Linked DNA regions of Oryzias latipes. The protein of the gene in region 2 interacts with the protein of the main gene of each other region in a pairwise test. Links are inferred from orthologs where the notes say so. Each region holds a gene or a part of one and is shown on either strand. Other genes may lie near its edges. The genes, in order: bnip3, bcl2 and bnip2.

Region 1 (8,335 bases), on a different chromosome or scaffold from region 2:
ACAGACCATAGACAAACGCCCAGAGCAGAGCAGCAGATAGTCAAGAAAATTATACACAAATTCTTGTTGTTTAAACATGGATGATTTTTTTTTAAAGCCAAGCGCACGATGCATACTTTTTAAAATACTTTTTCCATCCTGAATATTTTAAAGGTGCAAGACAATTAATTCTGAAGGATTTGAGGAGCCTGAGGATCAGATTAAATTCACCCCATGATACCTATTATCTTACCTGCTGTCTGGGCAAAACATAGAATATTAAATATGTCAAAAGTGTTTGAATAGTTTTGTTACAAAACTAAACTGTGACATCTGTGATACCAATAAATAACACAGAAGGCGCAGATATCTTTCTAATAGTAAAATATGTCACACAATGTATTCTCAGATCATAAAGGATGTGTTTCCTTTCAGGCCAATTGTCAGATCAGTATTTTAAAAACTTACTTGTTTTTGGTCTCAAAGTCTCTACTGGGATCTTCTTAAGTCATGTTTTCCCTCTAATTTAAAAAGATTAAATTGCATAAATGTAAACTAAAAGGTTATCTAATGGAAACTGTGAATTAAATCAGAGTCTGGGACTTTTGGGAATTCATTGAATTGTTGTGATGAAATCACAACTTCTGTCTTTAAAAAAATCCCCAAAAAGAAAAAAATGGAGGTTGCCATTGGCACCATTGTAGTTTTCTGATCTAAATCTTAGAAACCAATCAGCCTAGCTTTTGTCCACTTCTTTCATCTTTTATCTTTCACACAACCTGAGAAAAAGTTGAAAGAAAGACAAGGCCATAGTGCTTAGATTTTATTTAAAATATTCATTGATGCATTGCTATTTTAACACTTTATTTAACTTTTTAACTTATTAACAATTGACAGTGCTAAGGATCTGGCCTTCACCCAACAATATAGCTGGGTTGACTCCAACAGCCTCGTGAACCCAAAAGGGAGTTCTAAGAATGGACGGCTGGATGGACGCTGCTAAACCATGACTTCTGTCTTTTAGCTTTTTTTTTTCCGGACGACTTTACAGCAGTCTGTTGAAATGGTTTTGCAATTTGATGCATTGTTAAACATTTGTAATTTAACATATTTTTTACTTTAAAAAGATTGTCTATTTAGGTTTTGTTTTTTAAAATTGAAAACTTAGCAATTGTAAGTAAAATAAATGTTTTTATTGTGTGCATTGCAGTCAGCCACCTTTACTCTCTTACTCCATCCATTCATCCATTTTCTTAACCCACTTCACTCCTTCCATGGTCCTGGGGCTGCCAGAGCCTAACCTGGCTGCCATTGGGCCAAGTCAGGGTACACCCTGGAGAAATCCTCAGCCTATCGCAGAGCAACACAATCACACACCTAAACACACTCACAGTTACACCTTAGGAGAATTTGGAGTAACCATTCGACAGATGAAGCCCGTCTTTGGATTGTGAAAAGAGGCTGGAAAGACTCTGGAGAACACCCACCATTTGAACTGGGACCCTTTCACTGTGAGGCAAGAGCGCTAACCACTGTGCCACTATGCAGCCCTCCTACTCCAAAAGAAGAAAAAAATCCAGTCAAACTTAACTTCCTTCGGATTAGCCTTACTCTCAATTAGTAAATAGAGTCCACCCATCTGTTTTTTAATCTCTTTATAAACACAGCTGCTCTGCAAAGGCTCTAGTGGATTGTAAGAGAACTTTGGTAAACAAACAGCATCATGAAGCCTGTGGAGGACACTAGATCAGGAATAAAAGAGGTGAACAAGTTTAAAGCAGGATCAGTATAGGAGAGGCCTCAGAGATCTGGAGTTCAAGTGGGAAAACCTGTCAAACAAAGTAGCCGTTAATTGTTAACTAAGCAAATATTTGTATCTTTGAGTGGCTGAAAATCAATTTCTTAAAAGAGAGCTACAATATAGCCTTATTTTCAGTTTTGTATTCTTAACTAAAACTCTAATGATAGTTTTTTTGGGGAAAAAATCAGATTAGAAGAAAATTATTTTTATTGTGTGGATTGAAATACTACCGGCATGTTAGGCAGAACACTAACACTGAACATCCCCCTGAACTCACACTCTAAAACATGGTGGTGGAAGAATCATATTTAGAAAGGTTGCTCTTTAGCAGGGGCAGGGGGGCGAACCTAAATATGCAGAGAATCCATTCAGAGCTACAATGAAGCAGATGAGATCTAAGATTCTTTCTGTTAGAAGCTCATGTGTTCATGGGAAAAGACGTTGACATGGTTGAATCCCCAAAAAGTGATTAAACTGTATTTCTGGGATTATTTTAGGCCTCTGATCAAAGCTAATTTTCATGAAATAATAATAATAAATAAATAGCCAGTAATCGCAAGCTTTTTCTTTTCTTTTTTTTTTTTTTTGCTCATGTAATCATTTGTCTTTCTACTTTCACCTAAATAAAAATAATATGAAAAAAAAATCACATAATTGTATCACATCCTGTGTGATAAAAGTGCTGATTCATGTCATTTTAGTAATGTAAACTTTTGATTTTTTTTATTGAATCAATCTATCACGGCATGTCTGTCAATGACATCAATGTCAAATAGGTAAAAATAAAGGTAGACAAAAACACGTATGAAAACAAATATAACTTTTGAAAAAATTAATAAAAAATAAGGGGAAAAATAAATAAAAATAAGGGATGTTAGTAATATAAACAGTATCGCGTTTAAAGCTCACGAGAATAAACGGTAACATCCATGTTTAAGCGTACAAGCGAGCATGCGCGCTGATGTCAGAAGTGCGTTCTCAGCATGCAAGGCGCATGCGCGCCCTTCATGTGGAGCCAATCGTCTTTAAGATAAACACAGCGTTGCGTCATTGTTGTTTCAGCACTCTAAACTCCAGCTGTTTACAGACATTTCACCTTCATTCGAGCCTCCACAGCCGTGAAAGAACCAAGACTACAACGCAAAAATGTCGATCCAGAAGGATGCTTCCTCTGACGAGAGTTTGCAAGGTAACGTGTTCATAAATCTGTCATGTAAACATCCATTAATGTTAACGAGTGAGACGAGGTTAATCCAAATTTTAGTACCTCTAATGAATCGAAGTGATTAGTTAGCATCTTCCACCACTGTTGAAGCCAAACTAAAGGCTTGTGTTTTGTTCCACTAGACGCTTGAGCTCGATTAGCCCCCGTATGGTATGCTAACAATAACAATGACAACATAGCAGCATGGATCCTGACTGCAGCCTGCCTATGTTTTCATCTGAGGTTCCTGGGTTGAGCTGCATTTCAGCGGGAATGGGTCTCAGGGGACATGTCACCGAGGAGGCCAGGAGGAGCAGATCTCCACGTCCAGCCAAGAGGGCGACGCGGTGGAGCGAATGTTGCTGGAAGCACAACACGAGTCCGGCAGAAGCAGCTCAAGAGGAAGCTCCCACTGCAACAGGTTGAAAAGAGGAAGAATGTGTTTCCACCATTTGTTGCGAAATGTTATTTGTGTGGACAAAGTTTAAAACTTGTATTATTTTTTTTAAACAGCCCTCTCAGATCACAGACCCCTCTTCTGGTGTGGAGAGGCTCGGAGGGGAACAGCTCACAGGTGAACACAACAAACATTTTGACTCATTAAATGCCTAGAAAGGCCACTATTTTAAACTACGAAAAGGTAATTTTTTTGACAAACAGGATAACATATTACAAATTGATCATCGTTTATTTAAATGAAAACCATCCCTATTTCTTTACATGCTAATAGTTTTTAATAGATGATGCGTTTCTGGTTTTATGTTAATTTGATTTAGGTTATTCTGTTTTATTATTTGCATTTAGGTCTTGATATGTCAGATAACTGGGCAAAATATTGTTTATAAGTCTAACCATCTACAAGTTGTTGACTTTCCGATACATTCCTTCAGGGGTCGCCACAGTGATTCAGCATTCTCTGATAGTGGTTAATTATTTAGAATAAGCATAAAACAAATATTCTTACCTCCTGCTGAACATTGTCTAGCTGCCGTTTAGAGAGAAAATTTTGAGTTGTGTTTATTTGTACAGATTTTTTTTTTGGGTGCCTTTTTTGCATTTTAAATGCTAAGAAGTTCTTATTTAACACTGGGTGTATTTTATTTTGAAAGGAATTTGTATTTGTTCCTGTCAAAAGTAAAATAAATTGAATTTATAATATGTAGAAAAATGCAAGACTTTTATTATCAAATTATTATGAATATTTTAATGGTCTGAAAAACATTAATTTTTATAAGCGGCAAAGTGGAACTTTGTGGCCTTTGGATTAATAAGAAACTAGTTCAATTGGCTCTTTTAGTGTTAAAGGTTGAAGAACCCGGCTTTAAACTATATATGTTCAGTTTGAAAAAATTTGTTGTAAAAAGGGATTTGCTGCCGAATGGTTTCAGGAAATGCGATGGTCACTTGTTGTGTTTTGGCAACACTTGCTTATCTGTTCTTGTGTTTTTAGTCAGATGAAGACTTCCAGGAGAGGAAGCGGGAGGTGGAGAACCTGATGAAGAAAAATGCTGACTGGATCTGGGACTGGTCCAGCCGACCGGAAAACAGCCCTCCCAAGTAAAGCCGATCATTTAATTATTATTTTAATACGCTGCCGTCATTTATTTTGAAGCCCAAGTATTCAAAAAGTAGTTTATTTGTAACAATATTCCTGGTAAGTGCATTTGCTTAACTGCATCATTTTGATTTTCAGGTTTTGGATCTTTGTGGGCTTAGAGTGGCAGGCTGACATTAAAAGTCTGATCTATTTTTAATGAATTGAAAACGCTGAAATATTCATGGGTTCCTCTACAGGGAGTTCCTGCTGAAGCGCCCCAAGCGTGCGTCTTCTCTCAGCATAAGGAACAGCAGCGTCATGAAGAAGGGAGGAATCCTGTCCGCTGACTTTCTCAAGCTTTTCCTTCCTTCGTTAATCATTTCTCACATACTTGCTGTTGGCTTAGGGTAAGCAGCTTTGTTTAATATCTAACTTTTTTTAATATATGACCACATAAAGTTGAAACATGTACCTGTACTTTCACACTAAAAGCTTTTATTTTTCAGATTACTTTGCATATTAATCTGCATATTTTTTAATTGCTATTATTGCAGTTAGACTCAGTAATTTTAGGATTCTTTAGGGAGATTAACAACTTTTTGTACTTTCTTTGAGTATCAAGTGGTGTATTTTATTATTAACTTTATAAACTGTAGGTTTTGATTTTGATTCATTTTTCCTACTTCTTCCAGGATTTACATTGGGAAGCGCCTTACTTCCCACCACACCTACTAAAAATGGGGGATGAATGGTTGCACACCTTACTTCAAACAGCTCGGCATGCCTTAAAAATGAGACACCCTGCAGCGGAAGAGGAAAAGTGGCCTCAGGTTGTGGAGAGCTGTGACATTTTCTCAGCCGTTTTGCAGCCTAAACCTCTGAGCGCAGCAGCGACCGATCCGCTGCACCATCTGTCCTATAGAGGACAGTTCTGCTGCTTTTTGCTCCTGTAATCTGCATGCAAAGGAACTGACTGGTACTCAACTCATGTATTTTATTTTTTTCAAATTAATCTTTGAGATCACGTGCTGTGAAATTTAATTTTTTTGATCAACAAATATATAAGGGAACTGTGTGAATTTTTTTTCTTTTATGCATCGAAGGAATCAACAGCAGCACTTGTAGATGAATAAACGGTTAGATAGTGAAATGTGGTTCGTTTTGTTTGTCCCATCAAGAGTTTAACTGAGGAAAACCAACCATGCAGATCAACACAATTAAAATTTTTATTGAACTTTGGTCAAAATAATAAGTGAATACATTGCCACCATGTTAGGAATCAATGGACAAAGACAATGCATCGTGTGTTTTAATGTCATATGTTCTGCGTAGTCCACCTTCATTTCTGCATTTCAAACTGGAGAGCCACATTTTGCAGTTATGCGGATCAATTTGGATGGCATCCCTATTAATGAATAAGGGCACATGTATGAGGCCTGTCTTGTGTTTCCTACTTATTACAGGGTTCTGAGGCACTCCATCACAGAAACTGTGCAATCTTCCTCCTTTGTGTTTCCATAGACAGCCACATGTAGCAGCAGCGTATGAGGACATAACTCTAGAAAATAGGATTTATAAATAATGCACATGAGGTTTGTAAAAACGTTTGGGGATGTTAAAAGTCGTAGCTGTCACTGATAGAAGTAGGTATTAAGGCTGCAGATTCCCCTTTGTCCTGGACCCATTAACGTTCCATTCCTTAGAACTGAAGCTTAACCTCTCCACAGAAACACATAATGAGCCGTTTCCAAAACCCATGGCCCCCCAAATACTATTTCCATTGACGTTTTCTTGGAGATCTGCTCAATAGACAGTGGTGTGACTGGACATTTTCCACCTCTCTACAACATAAAAAACATGCAAAGCAATAAACATGTTTTAATACATACTTCTAAATTTAAAAACACATCTGTAGTTTTAGTTTCTTTTTATTATGTGGATGACAAGGTGTATTTAAGTAGATACAGTCAGTGAAGTTATATCACCTGTATTAACTGGGGTAAAAAAAGACGGGAGGGATGAGGAGAAACAAGTCCACTTTCCAAATTCACGACCCCATTCCGCTCGTAGTTTGGCCTAAAACTATAGGGCCAACGCGGGAGTGTTGACGGCTGGCGTTAGCGGCCGTTATTCCGTGCTTGAGGACCCCGAGATCTTTGAAAGATGGATTCAACCTTGACAAGACGCCGTTATAAAGAGTTCAGATGTTAAATGGTGAAATGAAGGCTTAAAATGTCAACCAAAAAGAATCAGCAACGCTCAAGAGTTGGACCTCTGCCGAGTGCCTTTCCGTCGATTAGACCGGAATTGGGCTTTCTGGGATGGGGGGGGAGGGAGGGGAGGCATGTTGATGGCCCTGGTTGCCCACAGGCGAAAATCAACCTAAGCTCGAAATAAAACAGCCTATGAAAACCTCCTGTGGCCAAAAAGAAAAAAAAAAAAAAAGTAGACACGTGCTTTCGAAATCTTCACCAGGAGGACAACAAGGCCGTTTTCTTCTTATACAGATAGACAAGTAGTAGGCTTAACTACACAGGTACGGTAAAAGCCCTATCCTCTGGAGCCCCACCAATCTTCTAGTTGATTTTGTCCTGGAAAATGTACAAGTTGTTGGTGGCTGCCACAGCTATCACATTATCTTTGGGGTGCCAGGCAGTGTGGAGGATCTTCTTATTGAAGTCCAGGCTGTCCACGCTGATCTCGTCCTTCTTCCTCTTGCCACCGGTGGACACTTTCCGTGGTTTGAGGGTGGCCCTGGGTTTGCTGCTCTCCCGGGACGCCTCCAGTGTTATGTCCCGCCGGGTGTTGCGGTCGAACATTCGGAAGAAGTTGTTGTAGGAGCCGGTCATGATGGCACTGACGGAAAGAGTTTGGTTTTTTAAAAAAAAAAAAAGGCGAGGGCGGGTTTTCCCCGGACTGTTTCTCTGCGACAGTGAGGAGGCTTACCTGTCGCTGCCATTCCAGCAGCATTCAAACTTATCAAAGATGCAGTCATTTTCATACAAGGAGCAGAGTTTACTGCGAAGGTATTCATGAACCTGGAATAAAACACAACTAAATATAAACACTGAAAAGAGAGAAAAAAAAGGCTCATTCAGCTCATACAATAGGCCTGCACAATATACCGCAAATTTATCGTTATCGCAATATCCAGCTCTGCAATATGCATATCGCAAAAGACGGCGAATATCGCAATAAATCGCAAACCCAAAATGTGTTAAAACAATCTTCTAGCAGCTTGAAGCATTTAACACATCAAATAAATCCCTTTATGCTTCTACCAATCAGATGGACGCCTTCCCATTGTTGACCAATCAGATGGAGGCCTATTATGTTAACCCTGGTCCTGAAGAGCCTCAACCCTGCCTGTTTTCCAGCTCTCCTTAACCAGCTTGCTGTTGATTGGCTGACTCAAGTGATTTCACATCCTGATTGACTGAACACACCTGACTTTGGTTATCATTATCGAGCAGTCTAGGGAGAACTGGAAAACAGACAGGGTTGAGGCTCTTGAGGACCAGGGTTAGCCACCCTGACGTTTGTCCCCCATGTCGATGAGGGTCATTTGGAGTATAATTTTTAAACTGTTGCAATGAAATGGGAATTATGTTTTTGTTTATTTTTCTATTTGTTTATTTACCGCAAATTTATCGTTATCGCAATATTGATCACTACTATCGCATATCGCAAGTTTTCCTCATATCGTGCAGCCCTATCATACAAGATCATCTTTCTGCCCGTTTGGGGTTTTTAACCTCAGTAAAAGGTTCATAGGCAGCAGAGCTAAACACCTTTAAGGCAAACTATTTTTTTT
Region 2 (7,017 bases):
TCAGGCTGAAGGAAATCTGAGCTGATTCATCTTTTTTATTTATTTTTTGCGTTTTGAAGTCCGTGAAATCAGATGATGGATTATTTGGAAGATAATAATTTCCTGCCTTTTTTGTTGCTGTAGTTGCACATATTGAGAATAGTGTAGTGTGTGCTTTGGAGCCACAAGGGGACACTGTTAGACACAATTTAAGAGCCTCCCCTCCTCACTGAATATCTTCATTCAGTAGAGGGATTAATAATTTCTGAGATGTGCAATTTATAACCCCTTTTGTGGGAAATGGATAGATTTGAGCAGGAAGTTTTTAAGGAAGTAAAGTTGGTTTAAAATGCGGGGTGTGCAGATCTGATGGACTTCCTAATGAAGGGTAAAACCGGACCAGGCCTCCTCCTGGTAATCTGCTTTGATCTCTCAATCTCCCTTGTGATCTCCAGCGCTGGGAAAGCCTCTTCTACACCTTGTATCCCCAAAAGTAAAGGAGGGAAAGAAAGCCCCCCCCCCCCCATCACTGCCCATCTTCCTGACTTCACACCCACACTGGACTCTCTTTTGAAAGTGCAGGACTTGATTTAAAATTCCTCTTCAGAGCATGTCACGCATTTTATATGCACGGTGAGCGGGGAGATATGGGGGAGGGATTGGGGGTGGGAGGTGGGGGCCTTCAGTCCAAATGAACTTCCCCTCACTGTTGGCCTCCTCGGGGATGTAGCTGCACACCACAAGCCCGCTCCTCACTCCTCAATTTCTTGCACCCACTCAGCTCCTCCAACATTAGTTTTACTGCATCATGCCTTGTGCAAATTCCACGGAGCAGCGAGAGGGCTGCAGCCTTTGAAGACTAGTGTGATCAGAGAAAAAGGCAGGGGGTGTACAAAACCTGGCCGCAGGGCATTTGGGGTTTTTTTTTTTTCTTTGCACTTGTGTTTAGCAGCGAGGCTGACAAGTGCGGCGTTTGGGGACAGGCTTTGAAGTCTGGTGGGGCGCGGCTCGTGCCTGTGCACCACCATCCTTCACGAGAAGACTGTCACTTTGACACACAATCAGGCTCACACAAGTGTGATGGATAACATATAATCAAAGGAACACAGTTGATCCCCTCCTCATCACCTAAACATCTGCTATTCTCTTTCAGCCTCGCTCTCAAGGAGGAAAAACACAACAGAAAGAGCACACAGCATCAACTTGTATCTGATTAGCTCAAGAAGTCTGGTTTATTAGGAACAAATATGATCCTGCTAGCTTATTGGCAGTAAACAACATAACACAGTACACTTTTTTAAGTGCTACGGGGTTTGCGATTATGGACATAAAAACAGTAGGCTACAGCAACAAGAGTGCTACATTCACATATGCACAGAGAATATATCAAAATTACAGTATATTGCTGTTAAGCTGTTCCTATTCCTGCCTCTGCTTTTTCACACACATCACTACACTCCAAGAGCTGTTTTCTTATAAGAATTGTGTTTATAGTGAGGATTGAGACGAGTCTGACAGCTTTTTACAAAGACCAAAGTGAATGTGATATAGTAGGACAACACAAACACAAAACAACCTCTCCAAGCTTGAAGTGTTTTTCATGAAGCTACTGCTAAATTACAGATCGGTTTACTTTGGTTTCCAGCTTTCTATAGGTCTGTACTGTGAAGTCGTGGCAGTTGAAGCTGTGGGTTAAATTGACAGTATAGCAGCCATAAGCCAATATTAACACAAAACACAAAAATTTATTATCTCAACATCGCTACTATAGCAGCCAGGAAATAACCGAGTTACAGTGTGATTTAATAGATAAAAAAGAACGAGAAAATTAAAAAGGCTGAATTTAATGAAAGCACTGTTAAATCTCTGTGATCTTGGTACCTCGTAATAAATAGGAAAGTCAGCTTTATTGATGTTACTTTTTCCTCTTCTAGTCTGTTATAAATATGAGTATATGCTGTGAATGTCTGTTGCATTTTAAACTGTCTTCCATCCATGCAGCAAAAAAAAAAAAAAAAAAAACAAAGTTTGAGAGTTTCTTAGAAATAAAGTCAGCTCTACATAGACAACTAACTTTTACAATGAAATATTTTGGAGCATGTACGTGCTTCCAAATTTTTCCATCAGCCTGTAACACAAGACAAACATCAATAAAACAGGATGGGAGGAACAAATCAATGGCTGGATGCATCTGCAGACAGGGGAGGAGAGTGTACACTCGCACACTCTTCAAGGATGATCTGTGGAGAAAACGCCGAAGCTGCATGTTTTACATGAGGAAACGCAGACATCTCAGGTTCCAGCGCGCCGGACTCTACCTTCAGTCCTGCTTCTGTGCAGTCCGCTCGGTCACATCCGCCCACGTCTGGTTCTCCACTGAGTCTTTGTGGGGCCAGGCCAACACATGTTGGCAGGGTAACCCCTAGAACCTGAATGAACCCAATCAATCTGACCACAAATGGACTCACGAAGAAGCAAAGAAGATGCAACAGGCTCGTTTTTTTCTTTTTTTAGCTCTGTGATTGTTAGACTTTTATATAAATTACCAATGTGGGTGGTCTGCTTTGCATTTCATTGCCTGTGGAATGCACTCTTAGACTCTCAGAGTAAAAAGAAAAAAAACAACCCAGAAGGAAACACAGGGATCAGCAAAAAGAAATTTTTTATTCTTCACATGTGGTTGAGCAGGACAGACCCAGATATAAATATATTGATGCGACTGGGAGGCTGGCAGAGGGCCTCCGAGTGTGAAGAGTGTGCGAGTGTACACTCTTCAAGGATGATCTGTGGAGAAAACGCCGAAGCTGCATGTTTTACATGAGGAAACGCAGACATCTCAGGTTCCAGCGCGCCGGACTCTACCTTCAGTCCTGCTTCTGTGCAGTCCGCTCGGTCACATCCGCCCACGTCTGGTTCTCCACTGAGTCTTTGTGGGGCCAGGCCAACACATGTTGGCAGGGTAACCCCTAGAACCTGAATGAACCCAATCAATCTGACCACAAATGGACTCACGAAGAAGCAAAGAAGATGCAACAGGCTCGTTTTTTTCTTTTTTTAGCTCTGTGATTGTTAGACTTTTATATAAATTACCAATGTGGGTGGTCTGCTTTGCATTTCATTGCCTGTGGAATGCACTCTTAAAATTGTGCGGTTATACTGTAAAAGCCTCAGAATACAAAATGTGCTGGTTATTGTGCTTCCTCCTTTCCTCCTTTTCTGTGTGTGCTGCAGTCCCTATTCCTCTCAGAATGACGTTTTCATCAACTTAAAACCTTCCTGAAGTAAAAAAAAGACGACGTAAAAGTGGAGGAGCTTTCAAAAGTCTGTAAAGGAGAAGCTGTTTGCATCCACCATCACAGGCTGGGAGAGTCTAATGGTGCTTCACTGAGGAGTGAGAACAGCAGACACACCGCACTAGCAACAGCAAACCGTTTCCATCACACATTCGGAGCAGCTGTTCCGCAGAGGAAGTGCTTTGAAGGTAAACTGGAGTCCACAGTTCAAACCAGGTCCTTCACCCTGACAAGAACTGACATAGTTGCACTCTCTTCTTCGTCTTCTCCGGAGTCATCATCTTTGCATCCGTTTGCCTTTAAGCCCCCCAAACTGCAATCCCACACATGCAAAGTCTACTCTAACACGTAACGTTCATGCTGTCACGGATACTAAAGCAGGCAGACCAAAAAAAGGAAACATGAAAAAATAGACGTGCGTTCCTTGTTTCTCTTGAACTTGTCTTAGTGTGATTACATCTCAGGTGCATCTTTTCAACATCTCCTCTGCCTTGTGGGCCGTGCCTCTGGTTCCCTCTCCTGTTTTGATTTGTGTCTGTTTTGACATGAAGGGGCTAGAGGGGGGGACTTTTCTGAGGGAGCCTTTGAAGCAAACCAGATTCAGTCTGAAGCGTGTCTCAGAGGGGTCAGGAGTGTCTCAGGAAAGGAGAGAAAGGAAAAGAAAAACAAAAGAGGCACAAAGTTGAGCAGATGGGAACGAGGTGGTTCACTTTTGTGCAAGGTATGCTCCAATGGTCAGGCTCGCCGCCCCGAGAGCAGCCAGGCCGAAGACAGTCTTGATGGACGGCCAGTAGCATGTGAAGACGGTTTCCTTCTGTCTGTCATACAGCTCCACAAAGGCATCCTGAAAGACAAACAGGAAGAACAAGAACTTCATGAATATCAGTTCAGATTTTTTTAAATAAAAAGTGTAAAAACACACATTTGCACATTCTAGTCACTTTTCTCTAAAAAAAAAAGTGATTTTAAATTGTTAGCTCAATTTGCTGTAACTCAGTGGGGGGTAGATCAAAGCGGCAGCACCTATTTTAACCCTTGTGCTGTCTCAGATGACCCCACCCTTACATTGAGGTGTTCTCCCTACCATGACAAAGGATAAAGGTGAAGAGGATTTCATGTAATCCATGGACACCAGTAAAGATCACAAATCATTGAAGAAAAAAGGTTCTTGTGACTCAACTCCCAATGTTAAAGTGCCTAGGATAACACAAGGGTTAATGACAAAAGAGACATTTTCTTACTGACCAAAACTTAGCAAGAACCACCAATTTTATTAATGTTTCTGTGGACATTTAGACGTTTATTTTTTTAAACGTAGCTTCTAAATATTTACAATAATTCAATTATACCAATGTGAAATTTTTCTATATATAATTGTTTTTTTTACTTTTAACTGTTACGCATAAAAGTTCCCTTCAAAATAAAATGCATCCTTTGTCAAGATCCTCCAGGAAAAGATTTACTTCAATTACAAATGAAAGAAATCCAAGTCAAACCTGAAATTTTGTATAAGTTGGACTTAGTGTGCTGTCATCCTTTTTCTCCTTTTACTATGGATTGCAAACATGGCATCATCATGTTTTTAATAAATCTATACCGATAAATGCCATTGTATACTTTAGGAACTGTGCTTTTGAAGCCAACTCTCCTATCTAAAGCTGCTAAAAACCTAACCTTTGAGTCGTTTTCTGAAGGATTTACTTTATCATGTATTTCATGGTTAAGGTTACAGATCTTCTCTCTCAAAGGCCGTCTGTTCATGTGAAATGATGCTTTGAAATGCAAACCTGCTGCAGAATATGGGTGGAAATAGAGTGTTATTACACCCATGCCGTAGAGGGATCCATTACTGCTCATCCCACCCTCCCACACCTCAGACATTCTTCCCGCTCAGAGTAAAAAGAAAAAAAACAACCCAGAAGGAAACACAGGGATCAGCAAAAAGAAATTTTTTATTCTTCACATGTGGTTGAGCAGGACAGACCCAGATATAAATATATTGATGCGACTGGGAGGCTGGCAGAGGGCCTCCGAGTGTGAAGAGTGTGCGAGTGTACACTCTTCAAGGATGATCTGTGGAGAAAACGCCGAAGCTGCATGTTTTACATGAGGAAACGCAGACATCTGCTCAGAACAGGAGACAGCAGGAACAGCTGGACAGGAAGTGATGGTGCCGAGCTCTCTGCTGTCCCGCCCCCACAAAGACAGTGAAAAGTTGGAGTTGAATCCCACTACAATAGACAGTTAAAAAAAAAAAAAAGTTCAAGGAAGGAAACACCAGCAGGTTTTAAGGTGGACCACGATAGCTGATGTGCAGTGAAGCTGTACATCTGAGCTGCTTTGATGTTAAAAGCTGGTGTTTGACCTTCCATTGAGTGTTGCGTTTGATTCACTGCAGCGTTCGTGCACCACTTCTTTCCACGAGGATCTGCTCAAATCTGTCTGGCTTTGACACGATACTTTACTGTTCTTAGTCAATTTTTGGGGTCATGTGTTTTTATTTGACCCTAATGGTGTTCATACAATTTTCTTCACAAGTATATTTTCTTTCAAAAATTAATAATGAAAAAAAACAACAACAGAGGATAAAAAAGAGGAGACTGAAGTGCTGTGGAGAGACAAAAGCATTTCCTGTTTCTCTTCCTGTACTGTGGCATTCCTGAGGCTGGGGGCTGATGACACCAGAGAAGAAGAATCAGCAGATTCTTCAAACTCAGGCCCTCTGGTGTCAAAATACACTTCATTTTCAAATCAGGCCAGAAACATTTTCCCTTTCTTTTGCAGATACATGTTTTTAATCATCTGGAGCCATGCTACACACAATAAGCATGCTAATCTGTAATGGATAATTCCAAATGGTTCAAAATGAGTAACATCTAAAATCTAGAAGAATAAAATGATGTAAAGGTTCTGGTAAAAAAAAAAAGCTTTTGTCCCAAACAAAAGGATCCCAGCAATCAGAGGAAATGCTAGTCAGTCAACTTATACACACAAAGTTAGTATACATAACAAGGTGGATGGTATGGAGCCCTGGACATGACATTGAAAGAAATGTTTCCACAAAATAATAATTTGCGCCCACAAATTAGTAGTAGGAATTGAAGATACTAAAATACTAATTTGTGCACTCAAAATGCCAATTTTTGTGGCCGCAAAGTATTAATTTGAGAGAACAAGTTTTTTTTCTGAATATCATGTTCATTGCTCCGTAGAATGGGGGCACTTTTCAGGAATGTTATACACTGTGATTGCATTTTATAAAGTGTTTATTGTTAATATTAATATATGGTGTAAAAAAAAAGTGAAGATTACCCGGAAGTGCGAAAGACAGTACTCTGCCACTCCTTAGGGGGCACTTGTGAGCAAAAAGATGCTTGTTTCTGCAGTCAATGAAAATCCTTTTTTTGGTGTTTTTAAAATGTTCTTGTGGCATTTTTCTGATAATGGAGAATATGTATTAAGAATATTAAGCATAAAACTGCGATAAAAAATTCCATTTCAAAAATAGAGCTTGTTTGTGACACAAAAAATATGCTGGGAGGGCCAGAAGCTCCGTGCTGCGCTCCATTCTGATGCACCCATTGAGCAGTGTGAGTTACTGCAACTACATAAAGGCGTTATTCCGTGTTTGCATGTGCCGGTCCCAGGTCCGGATGAATGCAGAGGGTTTAGGACAGGAAGAGCATCGGTGTTAACTCTTCAACCGTTGACAACATTAAACCTTGTGCTATCCTATGACCCCACC
Region 3 (7,630 bases), on a different chromosome or scaffold from region 2:
AAAAAGGATGCAGTGACCAACCCTTGAAGAAAGTGCCAATACCTTTTTGGGTTTTTCCTATTTTTTTCAGCATCAAACCTTTAGGAGGGGGCAGGGAGACTGGGTTAAGCACATGAAACATGACAACTAACAGCAAATTCAACAGAGCAGACACTTCTTCCTAAATGTGTTAGGTTGAGGTGGTGTACTGCCTTTAAAAACATTGATGGAAAATGTTCTGAAGGGCAAAAACTGTTCAGCTGCATACACAACACGCATTCAAGTGACCACTTTAGATGTTAAGTCTGTGTAAAGGTGCAGATGAGGGTTTCAGGCTCATTCATTCATCTTTTAATCCGTTTTGTCCCTTTCGGTGTCACAGAGCTGCTGGAGCCTATCTCAGCCACTTGCGGGCCAAGGCAGGGGACATCCTGGACAGGTCGCCAGTCTGTCACGGGGCCACAATGACAGGCTGAGAGAGCACATTACTGAAGGTGGATCACACGCCCTGTGTACGGAGCTTTACGCAGGACTGTTTTTATTACGGTACATTTTGTCTGTGCCTTATTGTCTTAAGATCATCTGAGTCAGAATGATAAAGGAACTTTGCTTTTAATTCTCTTTTTTATGGTAATGGTTCTGTTTTAGGTCAAAGCATGCACCTCTCATCTGAGGATTTAATTTCATCCCGGCCCCCTGAGACGTGATAACTGTCCCTTTCATTTAAAATGATTTAGGCTACATTAGTTATAGTTCCCCAAGAGTAACTCGCACAGAAGACTGCAACTCAGTGGACTGTATCTAGTAGATATGGTCACAACCGGCGGATGAAGTCCGAACTGTCTATTCAAGGAGTTTGAAGGATCACACCTGGACTCTCACTGCCAATTAAAACTCAAAAGAAATGTTTTGGAAATAAACATGGGCCCAAAAAGAGCAGAGCCAATGAAACATTTTTTTTTACTTCTGCTGAAGTTTTGCTTTGAATCAACAATAGAAATTTGTTTAAAGTAGGGATGTCACATTATCGTGCAATTTGCAATTGATTACAGTCAAATTAGCGCGTCTTAAAAAAAAAAAAAATCATGTTTATCTAATTTCAAATCTTAAACAATTGCCATGTTCTCTGTTGTAACTGTTTACTTGGATGGATGTTTTTTATTTGAACACACCTGAAAATGTCTCTTACATTGCTCCCAGTGTGTGGCTTTTTAAAGCAATTATTGAGTAAAGAATAATTGTGATTAATAATTACAGGTCACAATTAATTAATTAATTGCATAAAAAAATGAATCGTCTCTTAAATGAATTAGTCTACACCTACATTTTCCTGCTGTCTTGACTTTAACGTACTAAAAGCCTGTCATTTTTTGGAAAAACATGCTACTTACTGTTTGATACAATCTGGTATTGACACATACTCCATCGGGACAAGTTCAGCAAGGTCCGTCAAGCTGTAAACATACTTGATTTTCTGGGTAAATTTAGAGCTGTAAAAAAAAAAATTATGTAAGACAACCACATTGAGAAAAAGACAACTGTTGCTCCATTAATATTAAAAAAGAAATACCTTATGAAAGGTTTAGTGATTGCCAAGAGGGTGCGGATGAACCACGAGGGGTGCACGATTATCAAAGACTTAAGGTTCTTCCGTAATCTGTACAAAGTACAAAGTAATGGGATTTACCTTACAGCAAAATCTGTTCGTTTCTCTCCATTTTCAGAATTGCGGTCAAAGACTGACCTCCTGTCAATCTGTTGATAACACTTTCGGAGCCAGCCGACGGTCGGCATCTTTTTCCGTGAAGTGGCCCCGTTTAAATACACAATCATATAGTTCTCAGCAACCAGGAGCTCCAGTGTTCCAATGACATACCTGTGGTAGAAACTCCTCATTAGTGCTCCTCTAATGTACCCGATCCAATAGAGACTCAAATGAAGACTCACTTAAATAAATTGTCCATGATGGATCTGTAATTTGGCTGATTACTCTCCGGCATGAAGCAAACAGCAAACACAATTATGGCATTCAAACCGTCCCCATAGTAACCTGTGGAGAAAAATGAAAAAAGGTTTTAGCATTCGAACCCGTACTTTCACGGAGAAAGGCTAACGTTTTATCATTTCAGAGCTCAGACTGAGGTCTAATCACACATTTATCCTGTGAATTCAACAGTCAAAAAGACAAAAGTCAGTGCGGCTTTCTGCTCGGGTAGATCGTACAGGAACACCACTGACCTCCATGGCTGATAACTCTTTTGTAAGGTTCAATGGCTTTCATATCCACCCTGTGATCTTGGTCTCCAATCCGGAACACTCTCCAGCGCCGACCTTCCTCGCGCTCCTCAGAGGCTGAGAACTCTGGAACGGATTGAACGCCTTTCTGAAGCAGCTCTGTAGCTTTGGGCTTGGGAAGATCATCTGAGACGAGAAAGAGGCTTTTGAAGCAAACAGCTGCACCCGAGCAAAACCAAATTCTGATCAGATGTGTTAAAAATTGATTCAGAGATGATATTTGGAATGTTTGAATCCCATGCAACAAACAGTTTATTGGTTTGAATCTGGAGCATTATGGCGGTGTGCTTTGATCTGATTTAAAACAATCATATTTGGAATTCCATGACTCAATTTTACTTCTCATTTTAAGAAATGGAAAACAAAGATGAATGAAAGGAATAAACAAGCTTTATGGCAAACCGTTCAAAACATGTATTATGTCAAAAATGTGTGTGTGTGGGGGGGGGCACTAAAATAAATAAATACACATTTCTATATGCAACATTTCATACTTAAGAAAAAACTTGAAATATCTCAAAAGATCTAATCTGAAGTTTGGCTGACGTAAAGCTGGATTCTTTTAAAAAGACAAAAAAGTGGTTAAAACATTTTAAAATCATGATTTTTAAGAATAAAAAATATACAACTTGATGGAAAAAGTGAACCCCTTCAATGACTATAATAGGCAGCATGCAGCATTCATGCAAAACCAGTGAATGCAAACGTTCATCAAATCAAAATGTTTTACATTGAGTTGCATCATTTTAGCAAAGCTTCAGTTTTGAAAGAAATGGTGAATACTTCCTTCTGACAACATTCAACATAAGTACTTGATTATGTACAACCATAAATATTTAAAATATAAATATCATTATAAGAGCAGCTCCATCACCAGTAAAACTATATGACAAAGAAAAGTCAATTAAAAAATAAATAAGTTTGAAATGATCTGAAGGACATGATCAGGAGTTGATTGACTTGGGGGTTTGTCACAATAAAGAAGGCTGTTCAGGAAACCTTACCACGAGGAGGAAAGAAACCTGTTGCTGGTCTGAAGCCTGTTTCCAGGCAGAAAAGGGAAAGAATTCTTCCAAGATAAAAAAGAAAGGCAGCAGGGTGGAAACACATAAACACAGCAGTTTTTAACAATACATGTTTAAAAAAAAAGGGGTGTGCTACACAGAAAACAATCCTAACAAACACAGGAAAATAAAATGCACAGAGAAATTGAACTAGCATTTGCACGTGTTGATCATTAACCCCTTTAGACGTCAGGTTTTTAACATAACTAGTTAAAATTAGATTCCTGGATTTCTCCTGGTTCTTGAAGATTGCTTGCATTTTATCTACAAGGTCAATCTTAAAAGATAGGACAGATGTTTAGACTTTTTGCAGGCGGGACTTCAAATCTGTGAAAATGCTAAAACCGAGATGTTTCTGTTGCTTTGATGAGGATCAAACCGCTCACCTTCCCATTCAAACTCATTGCTGTTGTCGGACGGCGTGTCGATGTCGTCCAGGTCCAGCTCTGTGCTTTCGTCCAGCTCATCGGACAGGATGGAACCTTCACTGCGGTCAAGTGCAAGGTTGATTGTAGGAGCAGAAAGTCTTTTCCGTGGTTTCTTGTCGTGCTTCACTGTATAGCCTGAAATGGAAGACATGCATTAATATTTGGGGACTGTTAAAGAATCTTTTATTACATTTACATGCAGATTCAAGTTCCTCTTTATATTTCCTTTTTCTTTTAAGCTAATGTGAGAGTAAAGAAAAAGCTGAAAATGAACAATTTGTTAACATTCTCTTCTGCATGTGCAGTAAACGGAAGATGCAGCTCGGCCTTTAATTTACCAGGATCTCTTTCTTCTGAGGCTCCCGCAAAAAGCTCCTCTTCCAGCTCCTCTTCCTCTGGGAGAGGCCTAGTTTTCCAAAGAGAACCTCGTTTCAGGATTTGCATGATTGATGAAGTTCCAACAACAATAACGCAATGCAAATGTATGGCTATGCCATGACACATGCACGGTTGACACAGTACCGTGGAAAATCCTCATCTTGCCACTCTTCCTTCAGTTCAACTCCTTCCATTCTTAAACGGGCCTCTGTTGTGGTGACCGACTCTTGACGCTCAAGACTACAAAAGCAGAAGATTCAAAGAAAAAGTCAGCAAAATGGCAAATGAATGACATAGGGCTGGGTATCACCAATAATTTCCAGAATTGATTTGATTCACTAGAGGGTAGATCAAACCAATTCACGGTTTCTTCAATTCTTTCGATTCACTCGTTTCAATTCGATTCAATTTTGAATTTACAGTTTACACATATAGACATATTTGCATAGAAATACAATTACATATGTGTGTTTTAAAGATACTTTAGTCACATATTAATCTGATACAGTTCACATACTGTAAGATTGTAAAAAGAAGAAGCTCCAACAAAAATGTGCAGATTATTCTGTTCTGCCTCTCCTGGAGGGCGTTTCAGTTTGGCCACTAGGTGGAGCTCGCGCTTTAGCATTACACTTTATCTAAGAAGATTTGAGCAAAAACCGGTCCTTTAGACACCAAATGATTCATCGATTTCATCAACCTAGCCCTCGAATGACATATGTTTAAATCATGTCAATCAGAGGCAATTCTGACTATTTTAACTTTAAATTAAACAATTTAAGAGAATATGAGGTAAATATTCTCCCTAAATCACATACATTAAACTCTTGATTCTACTCCTCAGAATGAAAGATCATAAATAGATTGAAAAATAGAAGTTAAAAATGAATGAAAGCTTTCTTTTTTTCTGTCAGCAGCATTTGTTTTCTGACCATAACAATAAATTAGTCAAAGATAAAATGTTTAATGACATTTTGTCAGACTTAGAAACTCTGTCAATTACTTTTTTTAAACACAATAAAATTTACAGTCTCCAAAATCAGCTCGGATGCTCAAGCTTGTAGTTTACTTTAAAATCAGCTCTATTTATTCATGAAAACCTGTGAGCTTTAGTTAAGAGATTAGTTTATGAACCACAACTAAAGCTGCCTATTGTATCTGTGACTGGGTGACACACTGATCTCTCAGAATAGCTCATCTCTGCATGTGTGCAACAAACTTATTTTTAATTTACTAATGCAAATGGCACAGGCCTTTTAATATTTTTAATTTAACTTTTATTTAACCAGGAAATTTCCATAGAGATTAAAAACCTCTTTTCCAAGGGAGTCCTGGCCAACAGGCAGCACATTTCAATAGAAAAAATACATATGAACAAACATAATTTAATCACACAAATCACAAAAATGAGTGGGAACACATTAGGATCATTACAAATACTAACGTGAAAAAAATAAATGTTTAGAAAATGAAAACATGGATCATGCAGTGCTAACATACAGATTTAGCTGACTCAAGTAAAGTACATAGATAAATGCTTTTAAATATTCTTTTGAAGACATGAATTTTTCAGAGTATTCCATTAAAGCAAAGATAAATAAGTGTGAAAAAACAATCTACTTCACAGTTACTTTATCTTTAAAATGTTACTCGTTAATTTCTGATGTTATAATTAAAATGGTTATTTTAGTGGTGCTTCACTGCAAAAGGTACAATTGTTTTGTTTTCTGCACTAAAATTCTACATCCAGGGACAAAACTAGAAATTAAGTTGGAGCCTTTTAGCAAATAATTAAAGCTCTTGTCTCTGCTAAAGCTTTTTGTTTTTGTAAAAATCTTATTTCAATTATGGGAAGCTATGATAGTTAGAGGTGTAACAATAATTGACTTAATCAATGAATTGTAATATCCAAGCAGATCGATCTATTTGAGGCAAATCACCTATACCATAATTGTTTCAAAATGAAATAAATCGATTATTAATATAGTAAAATACCCTTTGGATTGAGACACGGTAGGTTTATTTAACTACAAAGTAAAAACGCGACCAAGTCCATCACAGCGTACAACAAACGTGATGGCGGCAAAAAATGATCAAGCCATCATTTCTTTGCTGCAAATGTGTGGAAAAACTTTCCGTTTACAAAGTCGTGTAAAGCCATACAGTGTGGTAGAATGCTCTAATAATTTTCCCCTTTTGGATTATTTTGATGTGAAAAAAAAAACGGTGGGCGGCACTTATGGAAACTAAAATGTGAATAGATTTGCCATTAATTCTAGTTTACTTGTTTGTTTGTACACATATTGCATTTACACTTGATTATCTTGCAAGAAATACAAGGAATCTGGAAAACTGCATGTGCACTGTTCAGTAGCCAGCTATTCATCTCTGAGTCACACTGGAGGAAATTTTGGCTGAAGATGAAGATGTCAAGGATTGATATTAGGTCAGTGAATCGTCTCTTCAAAATGAACCAATATAAACTATTAATCATATCAGTAACGACAAATTATGCTATGAATCAAATCATTGTTTAAATGAAGCGTTGCATCCCTAATGACTGTCAAAGCCACAGCATTGGAGCAACTAAGTTTGAAAAGCAAAGAAGTCATAAAGGTTTGTTCTGTATTCTGGTTATTGCCTTCAGTTGTAGAGTATACTGTGTGTTTTTGTGAGGAATCTTAATGCGTTTCTCTTTTTTGACTTGAAGTAACTGATGATGAACTTAGGTAAAAACAAAAAAAGTTAGTTGAATATTATCAGCAGCTGACACACAAAAAGCAAGTCAGTTAGTAAGTTCAGAAATAGTGTAAACTCGACCCAAAGTTGGCAACTACATACCCCAAACAGGAAAAATACAGACCTTCCAGTGGGTTCAGGAGTTAACGGTGACTGGTGAAGGGTTACTGGGGTAGAGACCATCCTTCCTGCCGGCTGTATCTGCACATTACCCGTCCGTTTCTGCGACACTTCTTTTGTTTTGGTTGGACTTTCTCCCGACTCTTTGTCATTTTCAACAACAGAGGCTGCACTTGTCTGTAACTCGTTTAAATCCTCGTCATCTCCCGACACTCCGGAAGATGACGGGCTAGACGTCTCCCTATTGTCCATGTTTTCGGAACTTCTGCTGGGTGTGACTACATCTGGGCTGCTATTGTTCAAATTAATATCAGTCAAACCCGTCAACACCGCTTCACCTTCTATCACTTCCGATGCCATGAGGTAAATATCTGGCCAAACTAGTACTTGGTCAGGTTGACTGAGTGTTTGAAACCCCCAATCAGCCCGGTTCCTCAATCATTAACAAGCTAGACCAGAATTTACGCGACTTCCTCCCAAGTTTGTAGCTTTTTGGCTAGCTGAGCTCTCGTCTACGGCGCAGCTAACCGAAAAAGTCCTGTTGCTAACACCTAGCTATAATAAGCGACGACATATCTAACAAACTCAACATTGTGAAATATCACAGAGGGTACCAAGCTTTAGTCA

Evidence for each region.
Region 1: the proteins of bcl2 (region 2) and bnip3 interact in a two-hybrid assay, tested with the Homo sapiens proteins (2 studies listed by BioGRID and IntAct). The link is inferred for Oryzias latipes from reciprocal best matches to the Homo sapiens genes BCL2 and BNIP3.
Region 3: the proteins of bcl2 (region 2) and bnip2 interact in a two-hybrid assay, tested with the Homo sapiens proteins (3 studies listed by BioGRID and IntAct). The link is inferred for Oryzias latipes from reciprocal best matches to the Homo sapiens genes BCL2 and BNIP2.

What each region holds. Positions count from the first base shown.
Region 1 is NC_019873.2:19,568,470-19,576,804, reverse strand, and holds bnip3 (BCL2/adenovirus E1B 19 kDa protein-interacting protein 3), read left to right. Parts: upstream 1-2,795; 5' UTR 2,796-2,926; coding exon 2,927-2,969; intron 2,970-3,227; coding exon 3,228-3,405; intron 3,406-3,497; coding exon 3,498-3,558; intron 3,559-4,434; coding exon 4,435-4,541; intron 4,542-4,778; coding exon 4,779-4,928; intron 4,929-5,213; coding exon 5,214-5,256; 3' UTR 5,257-5,671; downstream 5,672-8,335. Other genes in the region: ppp2r2d (serine/threonine-protein phosphatase 2A 55 kDa regulatory subunit B delta isoform), read right to left, coding at 7,098-7,377, 7,468-7,559. UniProt on the Homo sapiens protein: Apoptosis-inducing protein that can overcome BCL2 suppression. May play a role in repartitioning calcium between the two major intracellular calcium stores in association with BCL2.
Region 2 is NC_019875.2:25,448,851-25,455,867, forward strand, and holds the end of bcl2 (apoptosis regulator Bcl-2), read right to left. Parts: intron 4,117-7,017; coding exon 3,979-4,116; 3' UTR 2,625-3,978; downstream 1-2,624. UniProt on the Homo sapiens protein: Suppresses apoptosis in a variety of cell systems including factor-dependent lymphohematopoietic and neural cells. Regulates cell death by controlling the mitochondrial membrane permeability. Appears to function in a feedback loop system with caspases.
Region 3 is NC_019864.2:17,093,827-17,101,456, forward strand, and holds part of bnip2 (BCL2/adenovirus E1B 19 kDa protein-interacting protein 2), read right to left. Parts: 5' UTR 7,364-7,630; coding exon 7,008-7,363; intron 4,385-7,007; coding exon 4,289-4,384; intron 4,173-4,288; coding exon 4,105-4,172; intron 3,902-4,104; coding exon 3,725-3,901; intron 2,401-3,724; coding exon 2,218-2,400; intron 2,030-2,217; coding exon 1,927-2,029; intron 1,856-1,926; coding exon 1,724-1,855; intron 1,637-1,723; coding exon 1,550-1,636; intron 1,470-1,549; coding exon 1,371-1,469; coding exon of another isoform or gene 1,367-1,370; intron 79-1,366; coding exon 43-78; intron 1-42.